3 linked regions of the Mus musculus genome follow. The main gene of each other region encodes a partner of the protein of the gene in region 2 in a complex. Links are inferred from orthologs where the notes say so. Each region holds a gene or a part of one and is shown on either strand. Other genes may lie near its edges. The genes, in order: Washc3, Washc4 and Washc1.

Evidence for each region.
Region 1: Washc4 (region 2) and Washc3 share a complex: the UniProt entries of both Homo sapiens proteins name them as parts of the WASH core complex. The link is inferred for Mus musculus from reciprocal best matches to the Homo sapiens genes WASHC4 and WASHC3.
Region 3: Washc4 (region 2) and Washc1 share a complex: the UniProt entries of both Homo sapiens proteins name them as parts of the WASH core complex. The link is inferred for Mus musculus from reciprocal best matches to the Homo sapiens genes WASHC4 and WASHC1.

The regions. Positions count from the first base shown.
Region 1 is NC_000076.6:88,195,898-88,206,059, reverse strand, and holds the start of Washc3 (WASH complex subunit 3), read right to left. Parts: upstream 4,964-10,162; 5' UTR 4,819-4,963; coding exon 4,768-4,818; intron 4,249-4,767; coding exon 4,150-4,248; intron 1-4,149. UniProt on the Homo sapiens protein: Acts as a component of the WASH core complex that functions as a nucleation-promoting factor (NPF) at the surface of endosomes, where it recruits and activates the Arp2/3 complex to induce actin polymerization, playing a key role in the fission of tubules that serve as transport intermediates during endosome sorting.
Region 2 is NC_000076.6:83,550,811-83,560,957, reverse strand, and holds part of Washc4 (WASH complex subunit 4), read right to left. Parts: intron 10,078-10,147; coding exon 10,010-10,077; intron 6,225-10,009; coding exon 6,142-6,224; intron 5,386-6,141; coding exon 5,343-5,385; intron 4,958-5,342; exon of another isoform or gene 4,946-4,957; coding exon 4,842-4,945; intron 4,156-4,841; coding exon 4,035-4,155; intron 2,361-4,034; coding exon 2,237-2,360; intron 2,141-2,236; coding exon 2,013-2,140; intron 593-2,012; coding exon 432-592; intron 418-431; exon of another isoform or gene 1-417. UniProt on the Homo sapiens protein: Acts as a component of the WASH core complex that functions as a nucleation-promoting factor (NPF) at the surface of endosomes, where it recruits and activates the Arp2/3 complex to induce actin polymerization, playing a key role in the fission of tubules that serve as transport intermediates during endosome sorting.
Region 3 is NC_000083.6:66,107,181-66,117,427, forward strand, and holds the start of Washc1 (WASH complex subunit 1), read left to right. Parts: upstream 1-4,365; 5' UTR 4,366-4,469; exon of another isoform or gene 4,470-4,721; intron 4,722-6,682; 5' UTR 6,683-6,687; coding exon 6,688-6,836; intron 6,837-8,490; coding exon 8,491-8,602; intron 8,603-8,773; coding exon 8,774-8,920; intron 8,921-9,079; coding exon 9,080-9,216; intron 9,217-9,448; coding exon 9,449-9,581; intron 9,582-9,792; coding exon 9,793-9,994; intron 9,995-10,083; coding exon 10,084-10,247. UniProt on the Homo sapiens protein: Acts as a component of the WASH core complex that functions as a nucleation-promoting factor (NPF) at the surface of endosomes, where it recruits and activates the Arp2/3 complex to induce actin polymerization, playing a key role in the fission of tubules that serve as transport intermediates during endosome sorting.

The sequences.
Region 1 (10,162 bases), about 4.6 Mb from region 2:
CCAGTCTGACTACAGAGCTTCAGGCTCTGATGGACTCAGCCCAGAACAACCTTCCCAGACCTACGATTCAGGCCAATATATGCAGTCCCTGGTTAGTTTCCACAACTCCAAGTTCCAGCCCTCTAAACATGTGGCCCATAGAATCAGCCCAGCACCCATTATCCCATACTATAGACCAAGCTTGTGGATGTAGGCACTGTACGTGGTGGCTAGTCCGCGGAGCTAGCTACGCAGACTCAGAATCCAGGTAAAACCTAAACAGACCCTAAAGCCCCCACAAACTAAGGCTCTCAGAAGACCCCTGCAGATGCAACCACCAGATTATACAGAGTGGACTGGATCTACCCTCTCAGATTCAGGTTTCCAATACATCCCAGAGGGTACAGGACTGGCCAGGTCCACAGCCTGACTTTGTAAACTCAGGCTCAAGGCCAACTACAATTCCAAATCAGTCTCTGTAGACTTGGTATGTAGGATGGCTTCTTAGAGACCAGACTCTAGGTCTTTCCTTGCAGATCCACATCCAAGGCCCACCTCCTAAGCTTCTCAATACATCCATCTCACTGGATCTAAGCTCAATGCAGAACAAAGGGTGTGAGATCTGTATACCAAATGCTATAAGACATCAGAGAAATCAGACAGAAATAAATGCAAAGACATCCTGTGTTCATGGGTTTGCAGAATATTGCTAAAATGTACAAATGACCTGAAAATGGTTTATAGATGTAACATAATCTCTATCAAAATTTCATTATTTCTTACAAAAGTAGAAATTGTTTCATATAGGAATGCACACACACACACATACATATACACACATACACACACACACACACACCATACAGACTCAAATATCAACAGCAAATCTAAACGAAAAGCCTAACTAGAAGCATCACATGACCACACAGAGATGGAGCTTATACAGGGCTCACTAACAGAGACTGTCGTTCACCAAGGCTGACCTGGTTACAGCGGCTGCTGAGTGCCAGCAGCTGCTGAGTACCGGAGACCAACAGCGAAGCCCTGGCAGGCACCATTGCCCTGGGTGACCAGCCAGTCACCTGATGGAAGGGCTACTTCACTGGGCTTCTTTCTTCCTGGAGAGCTCACTGCTTTGTCGTTACTGGAATAGATACTTCTTCTGGCCATGGATTTGCCATTTCTGCAGGTATTGTCTCTGCCAAACTACCACTAGTGGACTCAGAAATGCCATCTCCACCATCACAGTGTTCCACACAGCATCCTTCTGACCCAGGAACTCACTTCATAGCCAGAAACGTGCAGCCATGGGTCCAGGCTCATGGAACTGGTCTTACCATGGTCTCTATCATCCTGAAGCAGCTGGCCTGAGAGAAGGGTAGAATGGCCTTTTGAAGACAGAGACAGCAACGGTGAGGTGGTAGCTGACTGGAAGATGGAGGCAGGCTTCTCTAGAAGGTAGTATATGCTTTGAATCAGCACCTAATACTTAGTACAGTTTCTTCCAGAGCTAGGATTCATGAGTCCAGGAATCAAGGGGTGGAAAAGGGAAGGGCTCCACTCACTACAGCCCCTACCTAGTGACCCACTACAAGAAATTGTGCTTCCTGTTCCTATGACTCTAAGTTCTGCTAATGTCGGACTTCAAAGACTGACGGCAAAGCTATACAGACCAAAACAGGATGGTACTGATCAAAACAGGCTGTGGAACAGAATAGGGTACCCGAAATAAAGCCAACCATTTATGATCCATTGATTTTCACAGACATGCCAAGAACACACAATTGGAAAAAAAAAAAAAAGACAGTTTTTCCAATAAGTGGTGTGGGATATACATAAGCCAAAGAATACAAATCAGAGGCTATTACACACCATGCACAAAAATCAACTCAATATGGACAGAACAGTCGCACGTAAGGCCTGAAACTATAAAACCAAAATCAAACTCAAAAAACAGAGCAAAGAACAGAGTAAAAGATCAGCGGGGGGATGGGAGAGGTGAGGGGCCTGGAATGGTATTGCTCAAAGGCACGGAATCTCAGGAGAGAAAGTTCACTGGGTTCACTGTACACTATAGTGACTGCCGCTAACAACAAAGGACACTCTCAATCAAGAATGATGAGACCACAGTGGGGCAATGGTGGCTCACGCCTTTAATCCCAGCACTCGGGAGGCAGAGGCAGGCGGATTTCTGAGTTCGAGGCCAGCCTGGTCTACAAAGTGAGTTAGTTCTAGGACAGCCAGGGCTATACAGAGAAACCCTGTCTTGAAAAACCAAGTAAAAAACAAACAAAAACACCACAATTTTCATTCTTTCCACACATAGCAAAGTAAGTGAGGCAGCCCGCATGAGCTTAGATATTCTATAGTGGGCACAAGAACCAAAACAGCACGTTTTACATCTGAAAGACTTTGTAATTTTTACTTGTCAAAATGAATACAAAAAAGAGCGAAAGGGAGTAGGCTAACTTTGTATGATCTGAGCTTTTTATCCAACACCACTTTTCTCTGGAGTTCAGGGAAACACTAGGAGAAACGGACCAATTGTGGGGAACGTCAGGAGTGTGAGAGCTGAGGGGAAAGTGTGGTTCTGAAGGCTCTGCTGCATTAGTGCTCAGTGAGGTGACACCTGCCATCTTTGATCCTGGTCGTCAATAAGCAGACAGCGGAAACTGAGGGGACTACAAAGACAAGGGGTTATCCTCACCCCAAAGCAGCTTACAGCAAATGGCTTTTCTACTCATTTGCTAGTTTTATTTACCTCAAAAAGGGCAAGCGCACAACCATAGAAAATGAATATCTGCTTTCTTCTGCTAGAAGCTCAGTCTTTATATACTCTAACCTAGCATAAAAAGGGTAAAAGAATTCATATAAGAATGGAAAGGTAAAAAACCCCTTTACTCAGTGGGTTCCTTATCCTATTTAGAGAAGCAACTGTGTGAGAGAAATACCGACAGGGCAGACGGCTCTGCAGCTGAGAGCACTTGGGCAAAGGACCCAGGACTGAGTGCCTGCACCCACAGCGAGGCTCATAAGTGTCCATAAGTACAGTTCTAGGTAGCCTTCAGCATTCTTCCGACCTCCATAGGCATCAGACATACATGCAATCAAAACACTCACACACATATCATAAAATAAGTACATCTTAAATGTTCTCATAAACCAAAAAGAGAAGAGAAGAAGTGAGGCCTAGGAGCAAGCACCAGTCTTGGGGCTGTTCAAACACAAGGCACGCAGAACTGGGCTCCTTACTGCATCAGCACATGTTTTACTTTCATTTGTCTCAGTGGAAAAGCTGAAGGAAATCTGATAAAGAAAGAAAGACCACGGCCGGGCTGGGGGTGTCGGGGCAGAGTGCATGTGCGGAGCATGTTCAAGGCCTTAATCACAACCCATCATAAACAGATCAAACTGTACTCAAACCAGAAGCTTCCTGTCTCTGGGCAATTCCGATGAACAGCCACACATTCAGCAATCACCGTTTTCTCAACGATAAGCCTCACATATGACAATATAAGAAAACAGGATATTAAATCGATCCGGCTGTGACTTGTCTATAGGTTTCTAATTTGTTATTTCCTTTCTTAAATTCAGTTTCAATATATATTCCCCATTTTCCTCTAAAATAAACAAAAAACAAAACTTTTTGCAAGCTCAGGAGAGGTTCCTGGACCTGGCACCTAATTCTTATCTATGTACTTAATTATCACTTCATGATGTATCCAGTTATTTGCAGAAAAGTATTTTTTGAAACATGTATCTCTAGGCTGCCTCCATGAATCCTTTTTGGCACAAAGGATGGAAAGCAATTCGATATAAACTCGAACATACATTTAAAATGTAATCTCTAGAATAGGAAGATGAAACAAAACCTTTCAAATAAAAAAAAAATTCCACTGTGAAATTCTGGAATTCCCTTTGTTATAATTACAACAAACTTGGCTGAGCTATCTCATGGAAGCTTCTAGAATACTAATTCAGTTGAGACAGCGCACAGGACTTATGGGGACAGAATCAGAGATGCTAAGGCCTTAAGACATTTGAATTTCATGGCAAAGTGAACACACGAAGGCTGTAATTCTTGTTTGACTTCATTTGACTACATTTGTCACCACGAAAGACGGAAGGCGACTTCTCGGCCGCTCCATGAAGTAGTAGCCCGGGACCTACCTCCTCACAAACTGCGGAAAACCGGTTGAGAAACTGCACAGTGTGCACCACAAACTGGTTTAGAAAGGCCACGGTTCTTTTCTGTTGAATAGCTGGCACCTGTGTCATGTAAAAAAGCAAACACGATTCTTACAGGAGAAACACACTCTCTGCAATCCTTTGGATATCTGGATTTCATAGAGGGGGATGGATGGTCTTTGCCCTGGGACATGTGGTTCACGAAGGGCTAAGAAGAGTCGCTGATTTGTTTTTCTGAATCTTGTGTGAGTCAAACACACACACACACACACACACACACACACACACACACACACACACACGAGCAGCTAGAGAGTCGAATAAGAGGTGAAGTGTCAGAGGTGGTACTATCTCCAGACTGTCAACCTCGGGCGTAGAGACACGTGATGTGGGGAGCAAAGGCTGCGTGGCACACCAATTCTTTTCTTAGCCCAGGAGGGACCCCTTTCAAAGTGGACTGCAGGGCTCCCCCCATTGCCCAGAGTAGGAAAACAGGGGCCCGGATTGGGCCTGGAGAGGTGGCGTCTCCCTGGGAACCAGGGCCCCTTGGCCAAGCCTCCTTCCCTGTTTGTCGGACGCTCAAGTCGGTCTTTTACAAACCTTGGTCAGGTCTATGCCTGACCCCATGAGAGGAAGCCCATCCTCATCCATCTCCTCAGCGGATGGGGACCCCGGGGCTCAGGCACAAGCTCCTCCCAGCCCAGTAGAGAGCCCAGACTCCTTTCCCAAGTTCCTGCCTTCGGGGCCTTTCCGGAAGAAAGCGCGAGTGTTCACCATTCAATGGGTGGCTTCAGAGAGGCCGCCCCGCCCCCTCGCTCTCGCTCAGCATTCTGGGATTGGTAGTTCATGATTCCGATTGTAAAATTGGGCCGGGGAAAAGCTGCTGATGAGCAGGTTTCACAGTTGCTGTTTTAGCTGTAAAATCTGAAAAAATCTGAAAAAGAAAAGGGGGTGGGTGGGTGGGAGTGGTGGAGTGAGGGAAAGAGACGGAGAGAGAAATAGAGAAAGAGAAACAGAAAGAGACAGATTCAGACAGACAGAAACAGGGAGACAGACGCAGGGTTGGGATGAGGTCAGACTGGGAAAGTTAGAAGCTGAGCTGTATCCGTTTTGAGATTTTAATTGCTTAGTCCTGTTACAAAACAAACAAACAAAAAAAAGATCCATAATTCACTGAAGAGCACTTCTCTTTTTGTGTAATCCTACTAAGTGCCAGATACTCTGTTAGCCCTTGTGAAGTCTAGAGAAGTCTGTCAGAACTTGTCTTCAGCCCTGGCAAGCCTCATGCACTGGAGATCCGTTTCTAAGGGTGTTTGTTTGTTTGTTTTGACATAACATAATTTCAAGCAACAACTGAGACACACAGCTGTGAAAGTGACTGCACTTACGTCATGTAAACGATCTTACACCTACAGTATGAAGATTTTGGTTCAGAGTTTGGCTGCACATTTTACCAGCGATGTGAGTTAGGGCAGGTCACCTAAGCAAAAGTAAACCTTTTTATTGTACCAAAACAAGTACTGAAGAAGTGACAGGATCTCCTCTGCTACACTAGTCAAAGGGAGGACATGCAGAATTTTGATGTGCAAAAGTTAGATGGACGTGCAAACAAACTCCTGTGAAAGTTGTGGCATTGCAAATTAGCATGTACAAACACTTGTAGATCCACGAGTACATGCACACCACATGCAAAGTGTGCGGTTCTGTGGATAATAGGAGCTTCTAAGTTGTACAAGAAGAGGAAGCCGACTTTAGTATCTACTTAACATTAAGAGCAGTTAAGATGACAATCTGGAATAAACCTTTGTCCAAACAAAGGTACAGAGACATGAGGGCATATGGCGTTTAAGGCAAAGGAAAGATTGTTTGGTGGTGTAAGTAGAAATGCCCAGAAGTGGAGAATAATGAAACAAGGCAGAAGTAGACACAAAAGCTGACGAAGGGCCTTTTATGGCAGAAGAAGAGTCATGTTTTTCTGAATGGGATTCGTGAGCTTCTGTTTGGGAGTGCTTCTTAAAACGCCCACTCCAGGGCCGGGCGTGGTGGCGCACGCCTTTAATCCCAGCACTTGGGAGGCAGAGACAGGTGGATTTCTGAGTTCGAGGCCAGGCTGGTCTACAAAGTGAATTCCAGGACAGCCAGGGCTATACAGAGAAACCCTGTCTCAAAAAACAAAAAAACAAAAAAAAAACAAAAACAAAAAAACAAACAAACAAACAAACAAACAAAAAATGCCCACTCCAGAGGTTAGCCTTAGACAAGCCAAATCAGGATCTCTTTTGGATAAACGTGAATACTTGCATTCTAAAATGCCACTCCCTGGAAAGCTGTGTGGCTAGCATAGCCACCTTCTTCATTGATTGTTTCTAGGCCTTCATTGTGTTACCTGCAGCAATGCTTTTACTGTCAGGGTCTATGGGACTTCACTGACCAAAAGCTCTAAAAGAGGTAATCCATTCCTAGTTCTAGGCTTTTTGTTAGCCTGCAGTATCTAGCAGGGGCATTGTTGCCATGAAATAGGGCAGTTCCATTAAAATTATATATGCACATTGTATTACTCAGGGTTCTCTAGAGCCACAGTCTCTACATACCACCACTCCTGAATCTGGGACTTGCTTTGTCCCAGGCTGACCTTGAACTCAGAGATCTTCTTGCCTTAGTCTCCTAGGATTCATAGCCACTCTGCCTCAAGATCTCCATGCCAAGATCCAAGTCAGAAATTTGTATCTCCCAGCCTCAAGATCTGGGTCACAGGTGAGCCTTCCGATTCCAGATGGTAGTTCATTCCAGATATAGTCAAGTTGGCAACCAGGAATAGCCATTATAATCCACCCCTTGTCACTTGACATAAATAATATCTCATGTCCCCATGAAACAATAACAAGATCACGAATATGCATAACATAATATAACTATTCCTTGTAAAATTGCAAACGCATTTGTAAATTTACAATGGGGAAATGTCCCTTGGGAACGTTATTTTAGTATCTCAACGTAAATATCAATTGATATTAAATAAATTGGAAGAAAGCACAAATAACTACACAAATATGTTCTTAACAGAATAAAACAGAAGAATTCATATTACTTTATAATCCTTGTTTCTGCAACTGGTTATGTGGCCTTAGATGGTATTTATAACTACCTTTCTTTACTACCCATTCTGTATTTCCTTTACCCTCGGCAAGGACCTCAGCAGGTCTTGGCTCTTTTCTTGGAGGAGTGACCCATACCTTCATTTCTGATGGGTCTGTGTCCTTTGTCATCCAGCTTGGATTAGGCTGTTTTTGTTTGCCATTGACTTTAGTCACAGGACATGGTAGAACTAAGAGAAAACCTATGGGATCTCCTGCACTCCAGACATAATCCCTCTTACCTCCATTGTGGAGAGGTGATCCAATTTCTCCAAGGTAATCTGGATCTATCACCCCTCCTAACACTGTTATTCCTTTCTTAGCCTGTTGGGCATTAGAAGCCCAAAATGACCAGTGGAAAGTCCCAGCTCCCAGTTCAATGTAATGTTTGCTGTGGCTCCTGGTACAAAGCACTCCCCACTCCGAAACAAAAATTTTTAGGCCAGCAGAACACAGAGTTGTGGGGACAGGAAGCAAAAATTTTCCTAGAGGGTCACTAGGAGTGATAGTGAGTGGAACTATTCCCTTTTCCACCCCTTGATTCCTGAACCCATGGATCCTGACTATGGGGGAAACTGTACCAAATATCAGACGCTGATTCAAAGCATATACTGCCTTCTGAAGAATTCTGCCTCAGCCCTCATAGTTGCTGCTGCTACATAATTGGCGCTGTAACCGTGTCTTCAAAAGGCCATTCCATCTTTCTATCAGACCAGCTACTTCATGATGTGGAACATGGTAAGATCAGTGGATTCTATAATTGTGGGCTCGCCGTCACACTTCTCTGGCTGTGAAATGAGTTCTTTGGTCAGAGGCAATACTGTGTGGAATACCATGATGACGGATAAGGCATTCTGTCAGTCCACAGATGGTGATTTTGGCAGAGGCATTATGTGCAGGAAAGGCAAATCCTTAACTAGAAAAAGTATCTATTCCAGCAAGAGCAAAATGTTATCCTTTCCACAGAGGAAGTGACCTACCTGACCCCAGGTTGCTGGCTGGTCACCTTGATGAATGGTGCCATGTCTGGGGCTCAGTGTTAGTCTCTGCTGTTGGCAGATCTGGCATTCAGCAGCAGCTGTAGCCAGGTCAGCCTTGGTGAGTGGAAGTCCGTGTTCTTGAGCCCAAGCATAACCCCCATCTAGGTTACCATAGCCATTTTGTTCTTGTGCCCATCCAGCAACGACACGGCTGGCTGCAAAAAGAGGTCCTTTGTCCATTTGAAGAGATCTAACCACATACTTCTTCCCCAGATGTCTTTCTCACCAATTTTCCAGTCGTGATCTTTCCAAGTCTTTGACCATCCAGCCAATCCATTGAGCTACTTGAGATACATAGAAATCAAAATCATATCAGGTAGACTTTGTTCCATTTACAGAGCACAGAAAGAGTAGAGAATATAAATCTCAAGGGCCCTCGGTTTTTCAGAATGGTAAATTAGCATTGGCTTCAATGAAAACCCTCCAGCTTCTTTAATTCCTAACAAGAGAATCAGTCTGGCCCTGGAGGCTTTGACAATGGCATGGACATATCTCTGGCTATAAAAGTCTGACATGGCATCTTCCAATAGAAGGCTGTTCCCTCTGTGTTGAAAGCTGGTTGGCTAGCATAGCCACCTTCCTCACTGACTGTTTCTAGACCTAAGGGATATCTTGCTGCATCTTCTGCATCATCACTTGCTGACTTCATTGAACAACTTCTGCTAGCATCAAACTTGCCTTTCTTTGGTGGGGCCTTCCCCTGTCTCAATTTTCATAGAACTGAAGATGATCAAGACCTTGTTCTGGATTAGGCTTTGACTAAGGAGAATATGGTGGCTGGACTGACTTGCTATGCAGACCAATAGCTTTCTCCATATTAATAATAAAGCTTTTTTAGGTTGGTTTTATTATCATTCATATTAATTCCCTTCAAAAAGTTCTTCTCAAAAAGTTTTGTTTTTTACTTGCAAGTTTTAACAATAAGTTTTATAAAATCCAGTAAGTTATATCGTCTAAAAGCTTTGGCAACTTGATTGTTTGAGAGAACGGGAGTGGTTTGGGGCATGCCAGTGCTCTCTTCACACCTTCTTCACCATCCTTAACTCTTTTACCATTCGGTTTTAAATGAGATAGAGGAGATTCTTCGTTCACATGGGAATGTAATACACCACCATGTGTGAATTTACTGTTTTCATTTATTTTTTTGCTGTTATTTGTTTATTTTACAACCTGATCTCAGTCCCCCTCCTCCTGCCCCCCCCCCCGCCTCTCCCCCTCTCCTTCCCTGTGAGAAGGGAAGGCTCTCCTGGGTATCAACCCACGCTGGTACATCAAGTCACTGCAAGATTAGGCACATCCTCTCCCACTGAAGCCCAGTTAGGGGAATGGGATCTTCAGGGAGGCAAGGGTCAAGGACAGCCCCACTGCTAGGAGTCTCAGCCAGAGTCACCCCCATAGACTCCCTGGAGCATCCCTCATCTCAGGTCTCCCATGTCCTAGAGACATCCCCCCTGCTGCCTATTTACAGTCTTTTCTCTAGGCTCTCCCTACACTTGATCTCAAAACCCTGTTCCCATCCCTATCCCCTTTCCCACCCAGTTCCCTCCCTCCCTCCACCCCCTCCTCCTTCCCTCTGTCCCTCCACCTCCAATGTTTATTTTATTTCCCTTTCTGAGAAAGATTCAAGCATCCTCCCTTGGGTCCTCCTTGCTATTTGGCTTCCATGGGTCTGTGGATTCTAGTGTGGCCCATTATTGTGTTTCAGAGGCGAGAGGGAGACATAGGTGGATGGACTGGTCAGGACACAGACGATGCTTATGGGTTAAGTCTGCCACCTTATATGGGCATGATTTGTGGCACTCCAAAACAATCACGTAACAT
Region 2 (10,147 bases):
TCTTCTCAGGACGTTACAGTTTGGGTTCTCTCTAGCAACACACACACACAACAATCAGATGACACACACACTACACACACCAAACACACATACACACACAAAATAGTTTTGAGTTTTAAGAAAGAAAGCAAAGTTCTTGAAAAATCAATCTGGGGACTGGAGAGATGCTTAGAACTAGAATTTGCCATGCATGCAGACCTAAGGCCCAGGATCTGGATCCGAGCAGCACACGGTGGGAAAGAGCCAGCTCCTGCAAGCTGTCTTCTTTCACACGCACACCCAGATACACTAAGTCAGTTAGTACAGAAATGTGAAAGACAATCAATACAGAAACTGTAAATATTGTCTGTTATTACGTAGTATCTTGTGATTCAAGTACTTTCTGTATCAAATATCTAAACACTTTTTTACAGTTGTTTTATAAAACTTACTTGTTAAGTGACTGAGCTTTCTGCTGTAGGAAGGTATCCCTGTGTATTTTAATGGCTTGAAGACTTTTTCTGTCTAGAAGTTTGGCAGCTGCTGGCATTTTATGAATCAGAAAATTATCAGGAAACCAAATAATATTAGCAGTTAAAGTGATGGCTGGCACCTGAAGGGAAGGAAAAGAAAGCAGACCCAATGATGCTGTGCTGAAGAGTGCTACAGCACACAGGGAAGGCAGCTCAGAAAACACAGTTACCAAAGTCTCAATGTGTTACAGTGTGTCTTCCCCTCACACTTATTGTAGAAAGAACAAAAGCATTCCCAATGGGTGGTGAGCACAGCAACTTTATTCTGCCTAAATATTAACACACACACACACACAGACATACACACAACAGATTTCACAATAATTAATAATATATAAAAAGCATGATGAAATTCAACCTTTCATAACATTACTGCCAGGGCATATTAATAAAATACTAGAAAAAAAATAACCTTAAACATAGCCAAGGCCTTATTGCTGTTATTATTTGATAGTACTAGACACAAACTAAGTTTCAATTCTGAAACTGGGTGTCCTATCATGGAAATAGCGAAGATGAAAATAACAATTTAATGAGGGCAAAGGGGACAGCCAAAGGAAGGAGGAGGCAAGGCCATGGTAACAGTACTGACAGGATGTTAACATGTCAGGGCATGGGTGCACTCCTGCAATGCCAGCACTCAGGAAGTTGTGGCAGAAGGATGGCTGAGACTGAGGCCAGACTGCACTGCACAGCAAGACCCTGTCTCAGAAAGAAAGCAAAGTTAATGTGCACACACACACTAAGTACACTCACCATATATATATGTGTGTGTGTATGTATGTATATATACATATATATATATATACATATATATGTATATATATGTATATATATATATATATATATATATATATATATATATGTGTGTGTGTGTGTGTGTATGTGTGTATGTATATGTGTGTGTATGTATGTATGTATGTGTATATATCTATATATATCTTGATATGAAACAGTTATTTTCGTTTATTGTATTTGCTCATTTCAAGGGTGTTTGTACTTTAAAACAATGCTACCACTGCTTTTATTTTTGCATGTGAATGTGTATTGTGTGCATGTATGCCTTCTCATGTGTGCGGGTACACACGTGTGCACACGTGTGCACTGAAACCTATGGTTGATATTAGGCGTCTTCCTCCATTTTCCTCCACTGTATTCATCCAGAGGCCTCTGACCCATGATAGGTAGTATCAGAAGTTAGAAGATATACCAGCACTGCTGGAAGTAAAGGCGGGCTGCCATGCTCGCACGGCATTACCTAAGTCCTGGAGGGAGGCTGGTTCCCAGTCCTCACGACAGACGGACGACAAGCACTAATCCTCCATGACCCACACACCTCCCCAGCTCTATTTTCTTTCTGACACAGTTACACTTCATAAAAAGTAAATTATTCTTTTTTTAACTTATTCTTTTTTAAATAAACTTTTATGTTAGCCCTTTTAAATATCTACCTTTATTAAAATTTACATTGCAAACTGAAAATAAGTTTCAAGTTCTTACCTTCTTACAAATGTCCAATAAAGACTTATAAAACTTTTTATCAACAGTCCGAAAAATCTGAAAGTGCAGTACAAAGAGCCCACAAATTCCAACATACTTGTCTCTCTGGTCAATTTCAGAAGGCTCACCTGATAAAGGAACACCACAGAAATACAACAGATAATAGATGACTTCTTAAGGAAATGTAAACTTGATAAATTAGTCAAAGAAGAAATTTATATTACCAAGCTTGGCTTCCACATTTGCAAAAATTGAGCGAATGCTATGTGCAAACTCTTCTGCAAACGTGCTATTTTTCGACACAGATATTCCTCCATTGAGAGAATCAAACTGCTGTTCGATACAGGCCTACACAGGAAACATTTGAACAGAAACTCAGACTCTCAGTAACAAGCTATCAACACCTTGGTGAGGTGAAACACTTCTGTAGTGGTTTTTACTATCAAATGTAGCTCTCGTGTCCTTTGATGGGATATGTGCATGTACTTATATGAGTGCCAGTTATAAGGCACTCACACCCCAAATGAAGAGACAGAATAAAGCTCAGAGATGAATGGAAGGAACCACGGCTGACACACTGGAAAGGAGGGTTTTGACTTTTTTGTTTTGTTTTGTTTTGTTTTTTGAGAAAGGGTCCATGTAGCCCATTATATAGACCAGGATGACTTCAAACTCAGAGATCTGCCTCCCAAATGCTGGGACTAACATTGTGTGCCACCTCTCCCAGCTGAAATCATTTTTAAAATTTTACGTGTTTGAGTGTTTTGCCGACATGTATGTCTCTGCACCATAGGCATGCACTGCCTACAGAGGCCAGAGAGGGTGCCAGATACCTTGAACCTGGAGTTGCTGATAGTTGTGAACCACCATGTAGGTACTAGGAATCAAACCCAGGTCCTCTTCAAGCCAGCACTCCTAACTGCTGAGTCATCTCTCCACATGCAACATCTTGTTCAGAGTGCCACCCTTTGGAGGTAGGTGTGTGTGTGTGCGTGCACAGGATCTCACTCTGTAGCCCAGACCATCCTCATATTTATGATAATCCTGTTAGACTTTTCCAATGCTAGGAGATAACAGGCACAGTCACTGCCCAGCTCCTCACATACTGCATGTGTAGAAATGTCCCAGGAAAAAAAAGAGCTAAAATAACTACATTTTGCATCTAAGGGATTACTAATTTTTATATCTAAGAGAGAAACTGATTTTAAAAAGAAAGAGCTGGAGCCAATCTGTCAAAACTGTGATAATATAAAAACAAAAGTCACACGAAGCAGACAGAGTAGACGGAATGGGATTTCTGGCAGCACTGTGAGGGTCTATCCATAGAATGAGGAGTAGTATGTTTTTACCTGGTTCCAGTACATTTTCATTTAGAAGGCACCCTATCTGTGTACATCCAAATCACACCCACTGGTGCAGGAAGAACTAACTAAGCTTTTCTATTGTTTGCTTTGGGTTCTGAGTTGTTCCTTTACACGGTTAGGAAGGACCCTGAGCATGCCAAGGAAGCGAGTGCTCTACCACTCAGCTACATCCCCAGCCCTTCAGACTTTTTAAAGGCAATCTTAAAAACCTAAATCTAGAAGCTAATAACAGACAATATTTAATGCAAATGATGCCTAGACTTTGAAACCCTTAGATTTTTGCCTTTGTTTTCTCTTGAGATGGGGTCTCCTATGCATCTCAGGGTGACCTAGAATTCACTTTGTACCAGAAGCTGGCCTTAGTTTTGCACAGCCTCCTGTGTGATGGGATTAGAAGGGCATACATCACCATGCCTGATTCGATTTTATATTTTTGCACAGTTTAATTTTTAAAGCCTTCATTTTAAGTAACTTTTTATTTTATTTATTACTATATATTGAGTTATGCTTTAATATACTAATAGTGGCTTTTTTAAAAAGCCAAAGCACTTTCTAAGGAAAAGAAATTCAAAAGTATTCTACAAAAGTGTCCTACTGTAGTTCTGATCTGCACAACCTCTAAGAACTCATATGCTGACCCTGATACAGCTCTACTTACCTGAAATATCATTCCATCAAGTAACTGCCCTTCCAGCTTCAGCAAGAACTTCTCAAAGGGCTTTAACTTTTCTTCCTGAATCCCAAATTTTGAAGGGTTGTGATGGACAGATTTCAGCAACCTTGTAGAAGATTTAAAGAAAGATCTTACATCTACCTAACAAATTCTTAAAAGTTAAAAATATCCCAGGAAAAAAATGTGTATGTGTTATTCTTACCCGGCTCTTCACACGGAAAATGTAAACAGAGCAACCCTAGTAAAATGTTTATCCTCTCTTTACCCCCTTACGTTCAATTGCCTGTTGCTCTGCATATACCAAACATCTAGTTACTATTTGTATGTAAACTGAATAGAAATGTAAAAGACTGTTCCAGCATTTTTAATAAATGTGTGGCACAAACCTTCACTTGAACAGAGTTCAGTGCAAAGAACAAATTATAACCATACTGCAACAGTTTGAGAACAAAAACCTACTACAAATGTGGCTGACTGCTCATGAAAACACTGGACAGGGCCAGAGAAATACTTGAGTGCTTACAGAGGAAACCTGAGTCTGGTGACTTACAACAGCCTATGACTCTGGTTCCAGGGCATCCAATCCCCTCTTACCCATGTACAGACACACATGAAACAGGGAGACATAAACACATATACATACACATAAAAGTAAATATTGGGCATGATTCTTTTTCAGTATAGAGCTCTAGGTCTTTTAAAGAATCAGAATTAGTATTCTAATTTTTACTACTAAAACTATCACATGAGCCGTACAAAGTAAAACAACTAAAAACATTTTGGTTGGCATACCTTTTGTACATAGTCCAGTGGTCTTTCAGCGTGACATGATTATCAACAATCTCATCCAGGGTAAGTAAAACTGTTAGCAGTTCTCCCAAGTGCTCATACATAGTCTGTCAAAAAACCTTTAATGATTATCATTTAGTCACTAGTTAGAAGTCTCATGTGAACTTTTAAAGAAAAACACATTGGGTTAATTATTAAATTAGTGAAAGGAGGGATCAATTGGTTTATTAAGATTCAGGTCTTACCCTCAAATGTACCACTAGCCTAAATCGAGTATATTTTGCCTAATATTTTCTCCATAATTGTGATGCTAAAGATTTGTTTGTTGACCACAGAAAACCTGCAGTGGAGCACTACTGGGGAAAAGTACAAGTGCCAGATCATAGCAAGTGATGGCTCATCAACTAGACAGACAACAGGGACAGAGACAGGGGTGGCATGCTAGCATTAGTATATGTCCTAATTGGTCAAATACCTAAGAAAAGTAGAAAAATTAACTCTTACCTGAAAATGAACTCCAGTTGTCTCTATAATTTTGGGTCCTATCCTATAATAAAATAACATCCAAGTTTAAATACAGGCTCTTAGAACTGTAGCATGTATTTGTCGTAAACTTGCAGGCACAAGCCAGAGCAGAGCCTGGGCTACCCTTGCTTGCTGTGCCATCATGGGTTAAAAACCTGACAACGGGCAGATGAGTAATCTTGCTTTTTAAACTTAAAGAATGTGCCTTGGCATCAAAGTAGAAGGAAAAACTTAATCAACTATTGGAATTTCTCGATTATCAACTACAATCTCTTACTCTATCAAAACTGGTGCTTGAGAAAAGACCCTTAAGCACATGTCAGACTCGTTCTTCAGTTCTCACTCTTACTGAGAAGCAAGGCATCAAACTTCTAGGGCTATACTACAATAATAAGCCACATTTCGTTCAACTTTATGTCCTATTTACGAAAAGTCACATAACTTTATGAAACAGCAGAGAACCACTAATGTACACAGGGGAAAACAAACACACACGAGTGGTTAATTCTGCATCAGCTCTTTTCTATGGTGAAAGGTCTTTAAAACTCTTTTGCCAATATTCTCATTCAGACAAAATCAGGTTCATAAACTTGGTGAGAACAAAATCTCAATTATCTGTAAGCACACACCTTAAAAAAGGAACACAACCTCCAGCAGTGTCTGAACATCCTAAGCATGTATACTGAGTACACAAATAATAAGTTGTTTCTATTAACTATTTTTCCAGAAAGTCCTTACTGCTATTTTATAAAAGCAGCCTAACCCTACGGCGCATTACTTGTTGCTGATGTACAGGGCAGCCAGCTGGTGGATGACATTCATCACCACTTCGTAGCACCTCGTCACAAAGCAGGACAGTTCCTGAAATGACATGGTGAGTACGCGTTACAAGACTGCTTTGTCAGTGTCGGGATATTTAGACTGGATGCTGTAACACAACCAAAGCTCTAGCTATCCAGCAGCCAGAGCTCAGAATCCCTCAAGCAATCAACACTTCTCTCCCCTCCTGCAGGCCAGGTCATTCCTCCCTCTGCTGCTCCTGCATTTCATGATTTCACCATTTTCTGAGTCTACTGTTTCAGTCACTCATGCAGCTCCTAAATGGCAGGGCCAATCATCCCTTCCCTGTAAGTGAATGAAGATCTGAAGAGTGACAATGACTGCCAGCCTACAAGTGTCACAAGGACAGAAAGCAATCTCCACAAGTCACTCTAAATCACTTCCCTTGTCATCTTTTGTTGTGTTTTTTTTTTTCAAAACAGGGTTTCTTTGTATAGCCATGGCTGTCCTAGAACTCACTCTGTAGACCAGGCTAGCCTCAAACTCAAAGTTCTACCTGCCTCTACCTGCCCTCTTCTGGTAAATCTGAGGACAGCTACAGTGTACTACTAATATACAGACAATAAATAATTCTTTAAAGAAATACATATATATATATAGCTTGGCACATACAAGTGCATATCACTTATCCCAAGAATATTTATCAATTATTATTAACTCAGATCTACCATACCTAGACTTTCTGACAATGTTTTTTAAAGCTCTCAACTTTTAGCCTTATAAAACAAATTTCCATCTAAAATACTTAAAACCTTATTAAACCTTCATCTATTCTAAACTGTAAGCCTTGAACAATAATATTCATTGCTTTTTTATGTGTTGGTCTCCCCCACCAACAAGAGCAGTTTGCAATACACACACACACTCTCTCTTACTTCATGGAATACATTAGATAATGTCTGGACAGTGAACTTTTTACACAGCTATTAGTGAGACCTAAACACAACTTAAAGTCTTTGAACTTTAAAGAGTTTTTTCGTACAGGTTTTTGCTATATAGGCCAGACTAGTCTTGAACTCATGATCCTAACTCATCCTTGTGCTGCAATACAGGCATTTTGAATGTGCTACCTAACAGCCTGTAATTTCAAACAGCTTGTTTTACATTTGTTATTAAACTTTCTGAAGGTTAAATGGTAACAGGAAGATAAAAAACAGAAAGCATGACAAAAAAGCAGAAATCAGTGCAGATACAGAAAGATTCCATGAGACAGAAACAGAAAAAAAAAATCAATTAAAAGATTGTCAGATGATTAAAAAAAAAAAACAGAATCCAGATCCAGCCATTTGCTCCTTTCCTTCAGATACCTGAGGAGCACCACTAGCTCCAGGCGCTGTTTTAAAGACACTGTGTTCTTGGACAATCAACACATAAGGCACTCTTACACACATACTGTGGCACCACACTGCTGTACAGAACATGACTACCTGAGGTCTTAAAGGAATGCAAGGAAAGGGACAACACTGAAAATATGAAAGAGTGGGCAAAGATACATTGAGAAAGCAAGCTGAAACACAGATACAGTAGCCATGTTACTGCCAGACAGAGAACACAGCAAGACAGTGCTAGCCTGTATAAGCTAAACACCCTGGTCTAAATGCTCCAGACCAGAAGTACTGCGGACTGCAGAGTTTTCTCCATTCAAGAGTATCTGCACATAGGTGATAAGATATCTTAGCCAGGGAATAGAAACAAATCTAAGCACAAAACTCATTTATACATATAGTCCATAAGTAATTATTACCTTGGGTTACAGAATTCTCCATTGGTGATGTTTTATTAGTGTTCAAACAATTTTAGGTCTTGTAGCATTCCACACTAGTGATTCTCAATCTATGTATATAATAGCCATTTGTACATAATTATGTATTATATACATAGTATCATAGCTTCATATCATCAAAGCTTTTGCCAATACAAGCAAAATAAGGGTCTCTGTGACATGGTGGGCATGCTAACTTGTCTTACTGCAGTGACCTTCTTACTGTCTAAATGTATTCCACTGTGAGTTACGTATGTAAATATATATCAATACCATTTACTTTTCTGTAAAAGGGGATATCTCACATAGGTAATTTGGTACAGAGAAGCTGAAGGCTAAATGAACCAAACATAAAGGCAAGCCAGAGGAAGCAGACTCCACCCCTACACCGAGGAACAGACAGGAAAAGGTCATGTCTGCTAGACTCTGGGAGCTTGGATCAGTAGCCCCTAGAGGATTACGGCACAATGGCCAAGAGCTCAATTTATTATACATACCGAATACAGTATCACCAACAGAAACACATATTTAATAAAAATTCACACTCACTGACTCTTCAAACCGCATTTCTGCAGCAGCCTTCCTATGGCAGCAGACTTGCTGTCAGGTCCTGACAATGTGACAGGAAAGCAGCAAAGGCTGTCCTTCCCAGTCTTTCCCTGTTTCCATCAGATAATCTACTAGTTCACCCCCACAGAGGCAGCTCACAACAGAGAGCTGGACCGCTTCTTTCAGCACTCTCAACCTAACCCAAACTGCTTTTCAGAGGTAGCTGCATCCGACCAGAGCCATGTCCTCAGAGGTGTGAGTGCTAGCTAGTTACATGCAGATTATCTCCCTAAGCTGCCAGACTTGATCTCACAAACATAACCATTTTTCTTCTGTTCCTAGATGAGGAAATGTGACCTGCTTCTTCCATAAGTCTTCACTATTTTGTTCTTCCAGCTTTCCCATTCCTGTGTGATCAACCGTGTGTGTGTGTGTGTGTGTGTGTGTCTGTGTGTGTGTCTGTGTGTGTGTCTGTGCTTGCGTGCACATGCAGTTTATAATAGCAGCAAAGATAATTCAAAAAAGTCTAGTTTCTTTCTCAAGCATGTGTGTATGTGTGTGCCTATATATGTGTGTGTATGCACCTGTGTGTGCAGGTGCCCATGGAGACCATAGACATTGGATCCCTAGATTCATCTAAGTTCCACGTAGCTATGAGCCCCCAGTAAGGGTGCAAGTAACTGAACTGGGGTCCTCTGCAAAAACAGTACATACTCATAACCAATGAGCCACCTCTACCACACAAAAACAAAATTTTTAAAAATTTTATTTTACTTTTATGTGTATGGGTCTTGTTTGCATATATGCCTGTATACCAAAAGAGTGCCTAGTACCCAAGCCAGAAGAGAGTGCTGGGTGAATCTCTTGGAAATCGAGTTATAGACAGTTGTGAGCCACCATGAGGGTGGTCAGTTCTGGGAATTAAACCCCAGTCCTCTGGGAGAGAAGCAAGTGTTCTTAGTAACTGAGCCATTTCATTTCTCCGTCTCCACAAAAATCATCTTTACATTTAAAAAAGATTATAAACTATCCATAAATGAAATTATACAAGTTACATACAAAGGATAATATATTAAAACAATTTCTGAATTGTTCAGGTCTCCTGATACCTTATTCCCCAAAAATTCCTCATAGATCATTTACGAGTTATGATCTCCTACACTGTAACCTCATGCTAAGTAAATGGTTCACTCTCAGAAGACACAAGACCTCAGAAATTGAGGGTTCCAGAGCCTATAAATTATGTGTAATTTTGATGAAAAAATTTTAAAAGCTCAGCCATGAATAGTGGTACAAACCTTTAATCCCAGAATGTGAAGAAGCTGAGGCCAGGTGAATCTTTTACAAGTTTGAGGCCAGCCTAGTCTACAAAGACAGCCAATGCTATCTAGTAAGACCCTGTCTCAAATAAGTAAACAAATGGTTTGAGAGATAGTAAAAATCAGTTCCCTTAAAGAGATTAAAAGAAACAAACAAACAAACAAAAAGGAGTTACCTGTAAGAATGAAACGAATCTCCCCATTTGAATTTGGCAGTCACCTTCCACCATGCTGGAATCTGTAGCTTTAAAAAGCAGCAATTTTACTTCAGGCTTTTTATTTAAATTCAACAACAAAGACAAAAGATAATATTC
Region 3 (10,247 bases), on a different chromosome or scaffold from region 2:
CAAAGGGTAATAAATACCACACCCTTCTAAATTTGCATCTCCAAAGCAGATGGGATATAGATCTATTAAGTCAAAAGACAGTTTTTATAGGTTTGTGACTGTGTGCATGTCACAACAGCTACAGTCACGTGTGCAGGTCCGAGGACAACTTTGTGAAGTCTGTCCTCTCCTCCCATCTTCTCTCTTTCCCTCCCCCTCCCCTTCTCCCTCTCCCTCTCCCTCTCCCTCTCCCTCTCCCTCGCTCTCTGAGACAGTTTCTCTTTGTAGCCCTGGCTATCTTGAAACTTGATATGTAGACCAGGCTGTCATGAACCATCATGTCCAACTCTCCCTCCATCTCTATATAGATTCCAGGGATTGAACTTGTTTTACCAGGTTTGCGCAGGCTTTCTCTGTGTAGCCCTGGCTGTCGTGGAACTTAATCCACAAGACCAGGCTGGCCTCGAATTCAGAGATCCATCCATCTGCCTGTCTCCCAAGAGCTGGGACTAAAGCCGAGAGCCCGTGCACCACCCCACTCCTGTGCCGCCCTCTTTGCAGGCTGCTCATTTAATCCCTATCAAATGGATCGTAGTAAATGAGGAAAATGGGTCAAAGCATTAAGTAACTTAGCTAGACTCTCCCAGTGTAGACGCAAATGAAGTCTGATAGTTTCTAAGCTTATGCCCTCACTCTTTCTACCAGTGCTGGTGTCTGGCGGTGCTAATGGGGGAACAGATTGGGCTTCTTGGAGGAACCCTTGAGCTGAGCTACTGTAGCCTCAGCCCTGCCATTCCTTCAAAATGTACATTGAAGCTGGATGTTGCTGTTGCGTAAGCCTTGGTTGGCCCCACTCTCGAAGGCAGGCTTATGCTAAGGGCTTGGCTTTAGAATTCTGGAGAGCCTGAAGAACAAAAATGCTGGTCAGAGTCTTCAAGGAAAGCGAAAGGCAGATAAAGACCAAAAACGGCCAATTTTCAGAGGAGACACCAGGGACAAACAGAGGAGGAAGCAGGTGGCTGGTGGCAGAGAACACGTTCAACAGAACAGCGGCTGATGTCAGACTGAAGCCACATTGGGGCGAAGTAGAGCTGACCCTGAGAAGAGACACCTCCACCAAGGCAACTCTTATAAAAGAAAACATTAAACTAGGGATGTCTTACAGGTTCAGAAGTTTAGCTCATTACCATTACAAAACGAGAAGCATGGTGACAGGGTAGGCAGATGTGGTGCTGAAAAGGGGGCAGAGAGTTCAACATCTGTACAGCAGGCAGCAGCAGGAGACTGAGACACACTTCCTTTATCAAGGCCACAATTCCCAGTAGGGCTACTCCCTATGAAGTGGAGTCTATGGGGGGCATTTTTATTCAAACCACCACAGGCTCCTTTAAAGCGGTGCTCCTCAACTCAATTTTGCAAACTATCATCTGAATTGGTCATATCTCCTCAACTGTGATACAAAGATCAAGCTGACCATGCTGTTTGAAGTCCCTGAGAAGCTAGCTCTGAATGCAGGATTGTCCCTCCAACCTTGTGGGAAAGGTGAGGCAGAACAGCCAAAACAAGTCAAGAGTAAAAATACTGTGTCCATGTGTCTTAGTTAGGGTTCTACTGCTGTGAACAGCCACCATGACCAAGGCAACTCTTATAAAAACCAACATTTAATTGGGGCTGGCTTACAGGCTCAAAGACTCAATTCAGTATTGTCAAGGTGGGAGCATGGCCGCATCCAGGCAGGCATGGAGGAGCTGAGAGTTCTACATCTTCATCTGAAGGCTGCTGGCAGAATATTCCCTTCCAGGCAGTTAGGATGAGAGTCTTTTTGTTTGTTTGTCTTGGTTTGGTTTGGTTTGGTTTGGTTTGGTTTTTTGAGACAGGGTTTTTCTGTGTAGCCCTCGCTGTCCTGGAACTCACTTTGTAGACCAGGCTGGCCTCGAACTCAGAAATCTGCCTGCCTCTGCCTCCCAAGTGCTGGAGGATAAGAGTCTTAAAGCCCAAGCCCACAGTGACACACCTAATCCAACAGGGCCACACCCTCTAATAGTGCCACTCCCTGGGCAGAGCATATACAGACCATCACACCTTGAAAACAGAACGGAGAACAACACATGTCCAGCATCTTCTTCCAGTTGTCTCAGATACTTTTTGCCGATCACGGCCCCCAGTTGCTTATCTGCTGTTCTAATATTTTTCTGCTACCTGTTAAACTCGCTCATTTAAAAGCTAAGGCAGGGCTAGCATGGCTTATTCGTCAGATGGAATGATCTGCTGAGATTCAGGTGCCTAACGTGAGTTGCCCCATATGCCCAGGTGATTGGTCTCCACGCCTGGGTGCACACACTTCCCATCCCCTTATCAAAACAGCAGATGGTAGGCTTACTTGGCTCCTCCTAAAGAGTGGGTTTGGATTGGAAAAGAAAAGTCCATGCCTGATTGTCACAGGATAGCCTACTGGCAGGAACACCATTTTGCAATCAGAGAGGAGAGCTGAGAGAAGCCTGTTTGCTTCCTTGGGGATGACAGGAAGAACAGCCCTGGGATGTGTTCCCATTGGTTAACCCAGGACAGAATGCCTTCAATGTCACCATCGAAACTGCTGTAATGGTACCCAAAGTAACAACAGCCGTACCCAGTTTTGACACCCGTATAAACTAGTCTCCATGACTTTCTGGCTAGGGAACAACAGCCTGGGAACACACATCTCCCAGAAAAACGCCAAAACGTCTTGGCGTGTGCACGTGCACGTGTGTTACCAGACTATTAATTTAAAAACCTAAATATAGCTCGGTGTGGAGGTACAAACTTTTAAAATCCCAGGACTTGGGGAAGAGAGGCCAGTGGAGTTCTGTGAGCTTGAGGCTAGCCTGGTCTACTTAGCCAGTTCCAGGACAGCCAGGGCTATATAGTATGATTGTTTCAAAAAAAAAAAACAACCAAACTTTAAACCTTTTGAACATGGAGCCGGAGGAAAGCAAAGGAGAATGTCACCACCATTGGGGAAGCATGTCACCACCATTAGGGAAACATTTCACCATCATTAGGGAGGCTAGCTTGTCGATCGTTGAGATCCTAAACCAACCCATTCCCACAGTGGGATGAAGGTGTGCCGGGCACAACAACAGCATTGGCTCCGGGTGAGGGCACTGAAGGCTGTGCACCCACCCAGTCCTTCATCATCTCTCTGACCTCAGATGGTAAAGACTGATGCAGGAGGACTGCCCCAGACCCCACGAGAGGACAGGACAACTTTGTATGATTATTCCCTATCACATTGTTACCAACCCTGCTTGCAAGAGCTTTCTGCCTTCCAGAAGACTCCCCAGCTGCCAAAGAGGGAGCCCCTCCCTCCCCCACAAGCACATAGCTCACAACTTCCCCACGGCACATTGCTTTCAACATTAGATGGCCACAACACTAACTGACAGAGACCCTGCATAACCTGGCAATATGTAGGATCCTGGACATGCCCACTGTGTCTTCCTGTATGTGGTGTGTGTGTGTGTGTGTGTGTGTGTGTGTGTGTAAGGGTATCCAAAGAAGACAGAAGGGAGCACTGGATCATGCTGAAGCTGGAGTTACAGGTGACTGAGTAGATCAAAGTGGGTGTTGCAACCTATCTTGGATCCCCTGCGCCAGTAGTTAGTACTCTTAACTTCTGAGCTCTTTTTCCAGGTCCTGTACACATACATCTTTAAAATCATTTCCTGGTTGCTATGGCAATCTTTGCAGGCCTAGTGCTGCTCCCAGCTGTTTTTTGGCCGTGGGGTGGGGTGGATTTCTGTCAGCAATTCTTATGTGGCTGCTGACCGACTAAGAGCTCATCAGCTGTGGGCTGTCTGTGGCTTCTTTGGCCCTACGGCTTTGGCTTGCTGCCGGTAAGAAGGCTGTCTGAAAACTAGAATAAGGGATGCGGTAGTAGGGGAGACTCATCTGCCCCCAACACTCTCAAAACACACACACACACACACACACACACACACACACAGACTGTCCATCTACAGCACTGCTTTCTCATTCCTAGTAAGCAATATTCCAGTTTGTTTCTACGCAGAACTTGTGTACTCCAGGTCAAATCATACCGTATCTGATCGCTTCTACGTTGATTTTTTTTTTTTTTTTTAAGTTGGAGACTAAGGGACTTTACCTTTAGAGGTAAACACAGGAAAGGTAGGATCTTCTAAAAGATTAATTAAGCCACTGAAGTATGCATGGCTGGAACAGAGCGGGCGTTTGGAGAACTTCCACTTGATGTCCTATATAGTGCATATGTAGTGTGAGGGTTTCTTGGAGCCGGTAACAGGAGAGACCTGAATCTCCCAGACAGGAAAGGTTAAGCACAGAGTGTGGGGCGGCTTCCTGGTCTAGGCCCCGCCCACCAGCAGCCCGGAGAGCCGGAAGTCGGAGAGCCGAGCTTACAGTGGTGGACGCTAGGACCTGGGAGTGCGGGTCACCGGGGGGCGGGGACGCTCACGTGAGGACGCCGCCTTGGGGTAAGTGTGCAGGGTGGGCGAGGGGCGGACTGGGAGCGCAGGACCGGGAGGAGGCCGCGACCCTGCCGCCCACCGGCTGGAGGCGAGTGAGGGCTCCCGGGCGGGACGGGCCCGGACGGACCGGGAAGGCGATGTAGGGATCCGGCCTGCCGCTCCTCCCACACCCTGCAGCTCCGGCTGCAGAGAAGAGGCCCCGTGGCTTCCTGAAGATTAGGGGGAGCAGGGCGTGGGAGGACAACTTGCACGGTGCGGGTGGGTTGTGCTGAGCACTTTCGAAATTACGAATTACACTGGTGACACGCACATATGGGGGGGGGGGGTTGGTGATCTGGGTTAAGCACCGATCACTTAGAAACATTTCACTTATGCTAAACAACAAGCACGGTCTCTGTCAACATAGATACTTGACAGGCATGTGTGTGTGTAAGAATGTATAAGAGAGGAATGTTTATGTATTCATGGCATGCATGACAAGTGAAAAATAAACAGAAACGATTGGAGGCCAAGGTAGAACTGTAGTCATTTGCTGGAGGGAGGAATTATTTTTGTCTCAGAACAAAACTCACGACTTACAGTAAATTACGTTTACTTCTGAGCTATTTATTATTTCCCCCCACAAGTAGAGTGGCCTTCAATCCATTTTAGATGGTTTGGAAAATTCCCCTTGTGGGCAGGACCGAAAACAGGCATCTACCCACTCCTTACAGGGCCCCAAATGACAACCCAAAGTACAAGTCCATCAAAGGGGTTCCTTGGGGGAACCCCTGAGTTTACTGGGTTTACTTGCAGAATGCGGGGTTCCCAGAGCAGCAGAATCACCAGAAAATCCCCCTGCATAGATGATGAGTCCCCCTTACTAGTATGGACACTGAGGTTACTAGGTGTTGTGCACTTAGGGCAGAATTATTGTATATAACGGGCAGAAGGTGCAGAGGGGAGGGGCAGAACATGACCCACACCATGAAAGGATGTCAGTAGTCCACAGGCCTATCTTGAACTTCACTTTGGAAGTGACACTTGTCCCAGTGGAGATGGTTAGTGCTCAGAGTGTCCTGCACGGTGACACTCCAGACTTTTCCAGTGAGAGCCATCAACGTCTTTGCAATAGCGATGCCTAGTTCCAGAGTTTATTGTGAACATGAGCAACGATGCTGTATGAAGCTGGGGCTCAGGGCAGAATCTCTTGTCTTTCTCTTCACATCAGGACCCCCTGAGTAAACACAGGGCAGGGTATCAAGCAAGATGTCTGTCAGTTAGGGGACACACACACACACACAGATCTTAAAATGGTTTGCATTTTTGTGTATGAAATGACCAAACATACTGATTGATAACAATTTTGAATTAGATAATTGATTCGCAGCCAGTATGACGCACAAGGTAAGTATTTTACTGTTGAAAATGTTGTTTGGCCAAATTTCCTGAATTAAAATTGGGAGCACTGATAAATTCACAGACACTGCGAGAAGGAAGATGGTAGTTGAAATGAGGTGGACTGACAGACTTGCTCTGTAGGTATGTAGCTGTTATTAGCTAGTGAAAAGAATAGTTAGTTACAAATAGTAATTAGTGTTAGTAGTGGCGATATAGTATATTTTACACTGGAAAATAAGTTGAATAAAGATAAAACAATGTCACCATTAATTTTGATTCTTTTTTTTTTCTAAAGATTTACTTATTTTATTTATATGAGTACACTGTAGCTGCCTTCAGACACACCAGAAGAGGGTATCAGATCCCATTACAGATGGTTGTGAGCCACCATGTCGTGGCTGGGAATTGAACTCAGGACCTCTGGAAGAGCAGTCAGTGCTTTTAACTGATGAGCCACCTCTCCAGTCCCCTAATTTTGATTCTTACACCAGAGCTCATTCTAGGATATGCCTTGCCTAAAAAGAGTAATGGAGACTTTTCTACAAAAAATTTTATTTAATTATTGTGTGTGTGTTTGTGTGTACAACATATATATGTTGTGCAGATACGTGTGTGTCTTGTCAACTATATGAGGGTCAGAGGACAGCTTTTTGAAGTGGGTTCTCTCTACCTATCACGTCGGTAGTTTCTCATCTAGTGCGGGCTGGTCTTGAACTGTCTGTATCAGAAGATGGCCTTGAACAACAAGCTTGCTTCTGTCTCTTCAGGTGCTAGTATGGCTGATAGGCAGAGGGGTGAGTGTGGGGCTGTGTTCTTGACGTCTTGGTTCCTTCTCACAGGCATCATGACACCGGTGAAGACCCAGTGCTCCTTGGCGGGCCAGCTTTATGCAGTGCCCCTCATCCAGCCCGACCTGCGACGAGAGGAGGCAATCCAGCAAGTGGCAGATGCCCTGCAGTACCTACAGAACATCTCTGGAGACATCTTCAGCAGGTGGGACCCGCTACGACGCTGACCTGAGAGAGGGCCACCCCTTTTCTAAGTGGGATTCTCTGCAGCCCTCTGTACCTTCTGCAAACTACTTCTTTAATGACCCAACTAATGCCCAGTGTGGGAAGGGTATAAGGGAAAAGACCAGCCTGAGAGTTCACCACCTCCTCACTGTGAAATGGAGCCCCTTGGGATTCCTGCGGGCCTGTGGGTGGCAGTGGCATTTCCAGACTCTTCCCCACCAGATCTCGTCCTTCACCGACTCAGTGCTAGGTGCACAGGGCCCTGTGCTTCGGTCTAGCTGTAGATCCGAGAGTGGCGGTGTTGCTCTTCAGCTAGAGCATAACTCTGACTGGGCCGAGAGAGGCCTAAGAACTGTTGTGCCTTCCTTAACTCCAGCTGTGTGCTGAGGAGTGAATCACTCGATGGCTTTGTCCCTGTGGGGAAAAGATAGCGTGCCCCACAGATGCAGGTGGTCTGGTCCTCCACGGCAGGTGTCTCCTGATGTTCCCAAGACACACACAGTGAAAGTGAGATGGATGGAACCGCTGCTGCATTGACCCAGTAACAGCAGACTTCTATAAGCAGGGGGAATATGCTGTAAGATAATGGTAGCCGTTACACTCCAGTAAAGACAAGCCAGCGAATCTCATTCATTATCATTACTAAGTGTGTCCTACATAATTGTATGTGCTGTGCTATATGCTACTGGCCAAACGGGAGGTGGGGTGGGGGGTGGGGTGGGACTTTTCCCTTTGCCCTTTCTCTATGTAGGGAACCCATGTCCTCAGATACCTGCACAAGAATGTGACCTGTCCCCCAGAGCTACGGAGTCAGAATCGATGTCCATGGGGAGCTAGGCAGGGTCCGTGACTATGTGGATATTCTGACCAGCACAGCCCCAGCCGGTTCCTCCTCCTGCTCTCTTCCACCCTTCTTCCTGCCTCTTCCTTCCTTTTCTCTTGCTTCATTCCCTCTCTCTTGGTTACTTCCTTACCCTCTCCCTTGTCTCTACTTCCTCCCTGCTTCTCCTTCTCCCTGAGTGGTACCTGGCGAAGACAGGGTTCCAAGAGGAGTCAGCCTTAATAAGTCTTGTCTGAGTTATTAGCAGGTTACAGAGCTGTCAGAGAGTGGAGGACATTCATCAGCGCCAGCACACTCTAGGGGGTTGCTACAGTGCGGAGAGGCACCAGTTATCTCTGTGGGGGGAGCTGAGAACAAATGGGCTGAGGGTTGACAGTGAAGTGGTCCATCAGTCTCATGGTAGATGCCTGGTCAGTGAAGCCCTGCAGAGGTTGGGTCTACCTGGCTTCATGGGGAATGTGGGTCCTGTTCAGAGACGCAGTACAGGGGACCTAGAAACTCTCCTGGCCATCTCTTTATTCCCCTGAAGAGCCTTGGTAGAAATGTCATACTCAGAGGACCTCTGACCTCTTGTCCTTTGTGGTGCTTACTTTCCCTGTTGCTATGATAAAATAACCTGTGGGCAGACAGAGGTCACGTGAACAACAGCACTAAGACCAGCCAGATAGGCAGGCTATATTGCATTGAGCACTTACGGCAGGGCTTGGCAAAGCTCAGGCATGATGTTGGCACAGGTGTACAGGGGCCACAGGACCTGAAGCCAACCTCAATCTCTACATTTCTCCTTTGGTAGGATCTCCCGACGAGTAGAGCTGAGTCGGCGCCAGCTGCAGGCCATTAGTGAGAGGGTCTCCTTGGCCCAGGCTAAGATAGAGAAGATCAAGGGCAGTAAGAAGGCCATCAAGGTAGGCCATGACTTCTGTGCTCTGTGGCTGGCGCATTGATCTTCCTATACGCCTGCGGTTCAGCCACACCTCACTTTCCTCCCGTCCACGGCCACCCCACTTTTAGTGCCCGTCTATATGATCTCTAAGGTGTCTTGAATATTTTGGGCCCCAGAGTTCCTGTACCCACAGGTCTTTTCTAGTGCCAAGTACCCAGCACCAGAGCACCTGCAGGAATACGGCTCCATCTTTACTGGCGCCTTGGACCCTGGTCTGCAGAGAAGACCCCGTTACAGGATCCAGAGCAAGCACCGCCCACTGGATGAGCGGGCTCTGCAGGTCTGAAAGCTACCAGCATGTTCCTCTGGATGCCATGGGTGCTGGGAGGCAGGGAATGAAGGCTGACCACAGATTTCGTTCCCTATAAGGATTATGGTCAGGATGGTGCTCGGTCACTAAGCATAGGACTGACACTCATCCACTCTGATCCTGCCTCAGGAGAAGCTGAAATACTTTCCCGTGTGTGTGAACACCAAGTCGGAGCCTGAGGATGAAGCTGAGGAGGGACTTGGGGGTCTTCCCAGCAACATCAGCTCCATCAGCTCCCTGCTGCTCTTCAACACCACAGAGAATCTGTACGGCCAGGAGATAGCTAGCGGGAAGAGGGGAGGGACGGAGGGAGGGAGGGGAACCCTGCTTAAGTAGCTTCGGGGACCTGAGCCTGATGCAGTCCTCAGGACTTGCTTGGGCTTCTATGAGTGGATATCCAAAGGATGAAATGTTTCCCCAGTGCAGTAGGAGGGGTGGTCGGGAACCTCCCTGGACCCGGGACAGGGGATAGCCTCCCGATCCTAGCCCACTCCACAGGTATAAGAAGTATGTTTTCCTGGACCCTCTGGCTGGTGCAGTAACAAAAACGCACACGATGCTGGGCACAGAGGAGGAGAAATTGTTCGATGCCCCTCTGTCTATCAGCAAGAGAGAGCAGCTGGAGCGGCAGGTAGGTGTGGGGGTGCCAGACAGAACAGCTGGAGCGGCAGGTGGGTGTGGGGGTACCTAGGCAGGCTAGTGGTCCTATTCCACGGAGGGCTCTACTAAGCTTCTGTCTACCCAGCTTTGTGGGTCCATGTGTGCTGCCTGCCCCACGGTCTCAGTGTGGGCCCCGTGCTCCAGCAGAGCCATCCCATTTCCTGTACCACCTGTCCCTGCAGGCTCCAGAAAACTACTTCTACGTGCCAGACCTGGGCCAGGTTCCTGAGATCGACGTGCCATCCTACCTACCCGATTTACCCGGCGTCGCAGACGACCTGATGTACAGTGCGGATTTGGGCCCTGGCATTGCCCCGTCTGCTCCTGGTGCTATCCCAGAGTTGCCTGCCTTCCACACAGAGGTGGCAGAACCTCTCCAGCCAGGTAAGCCAGGTTCCAGAGGATGGAACTGAGCCAGGCAGTCCCTGCTGAGTTCTTCCTCAACCCACACTGCATTCTCATTTTCCTCATAGAGCTAGAGAATGAAGTACTGTTGGCAGCACCGCCCCCGCCTCCTCCCCCACCGCCGCCACCTCCCCCAGCTCCCACAGCATTGGTCAGTACCCCACAGCCACCGATGTTCCCTGACATGGCAACTGCTGCTGGCCAGGTTGCCAGGGAAGAAGACTCTAGCAGC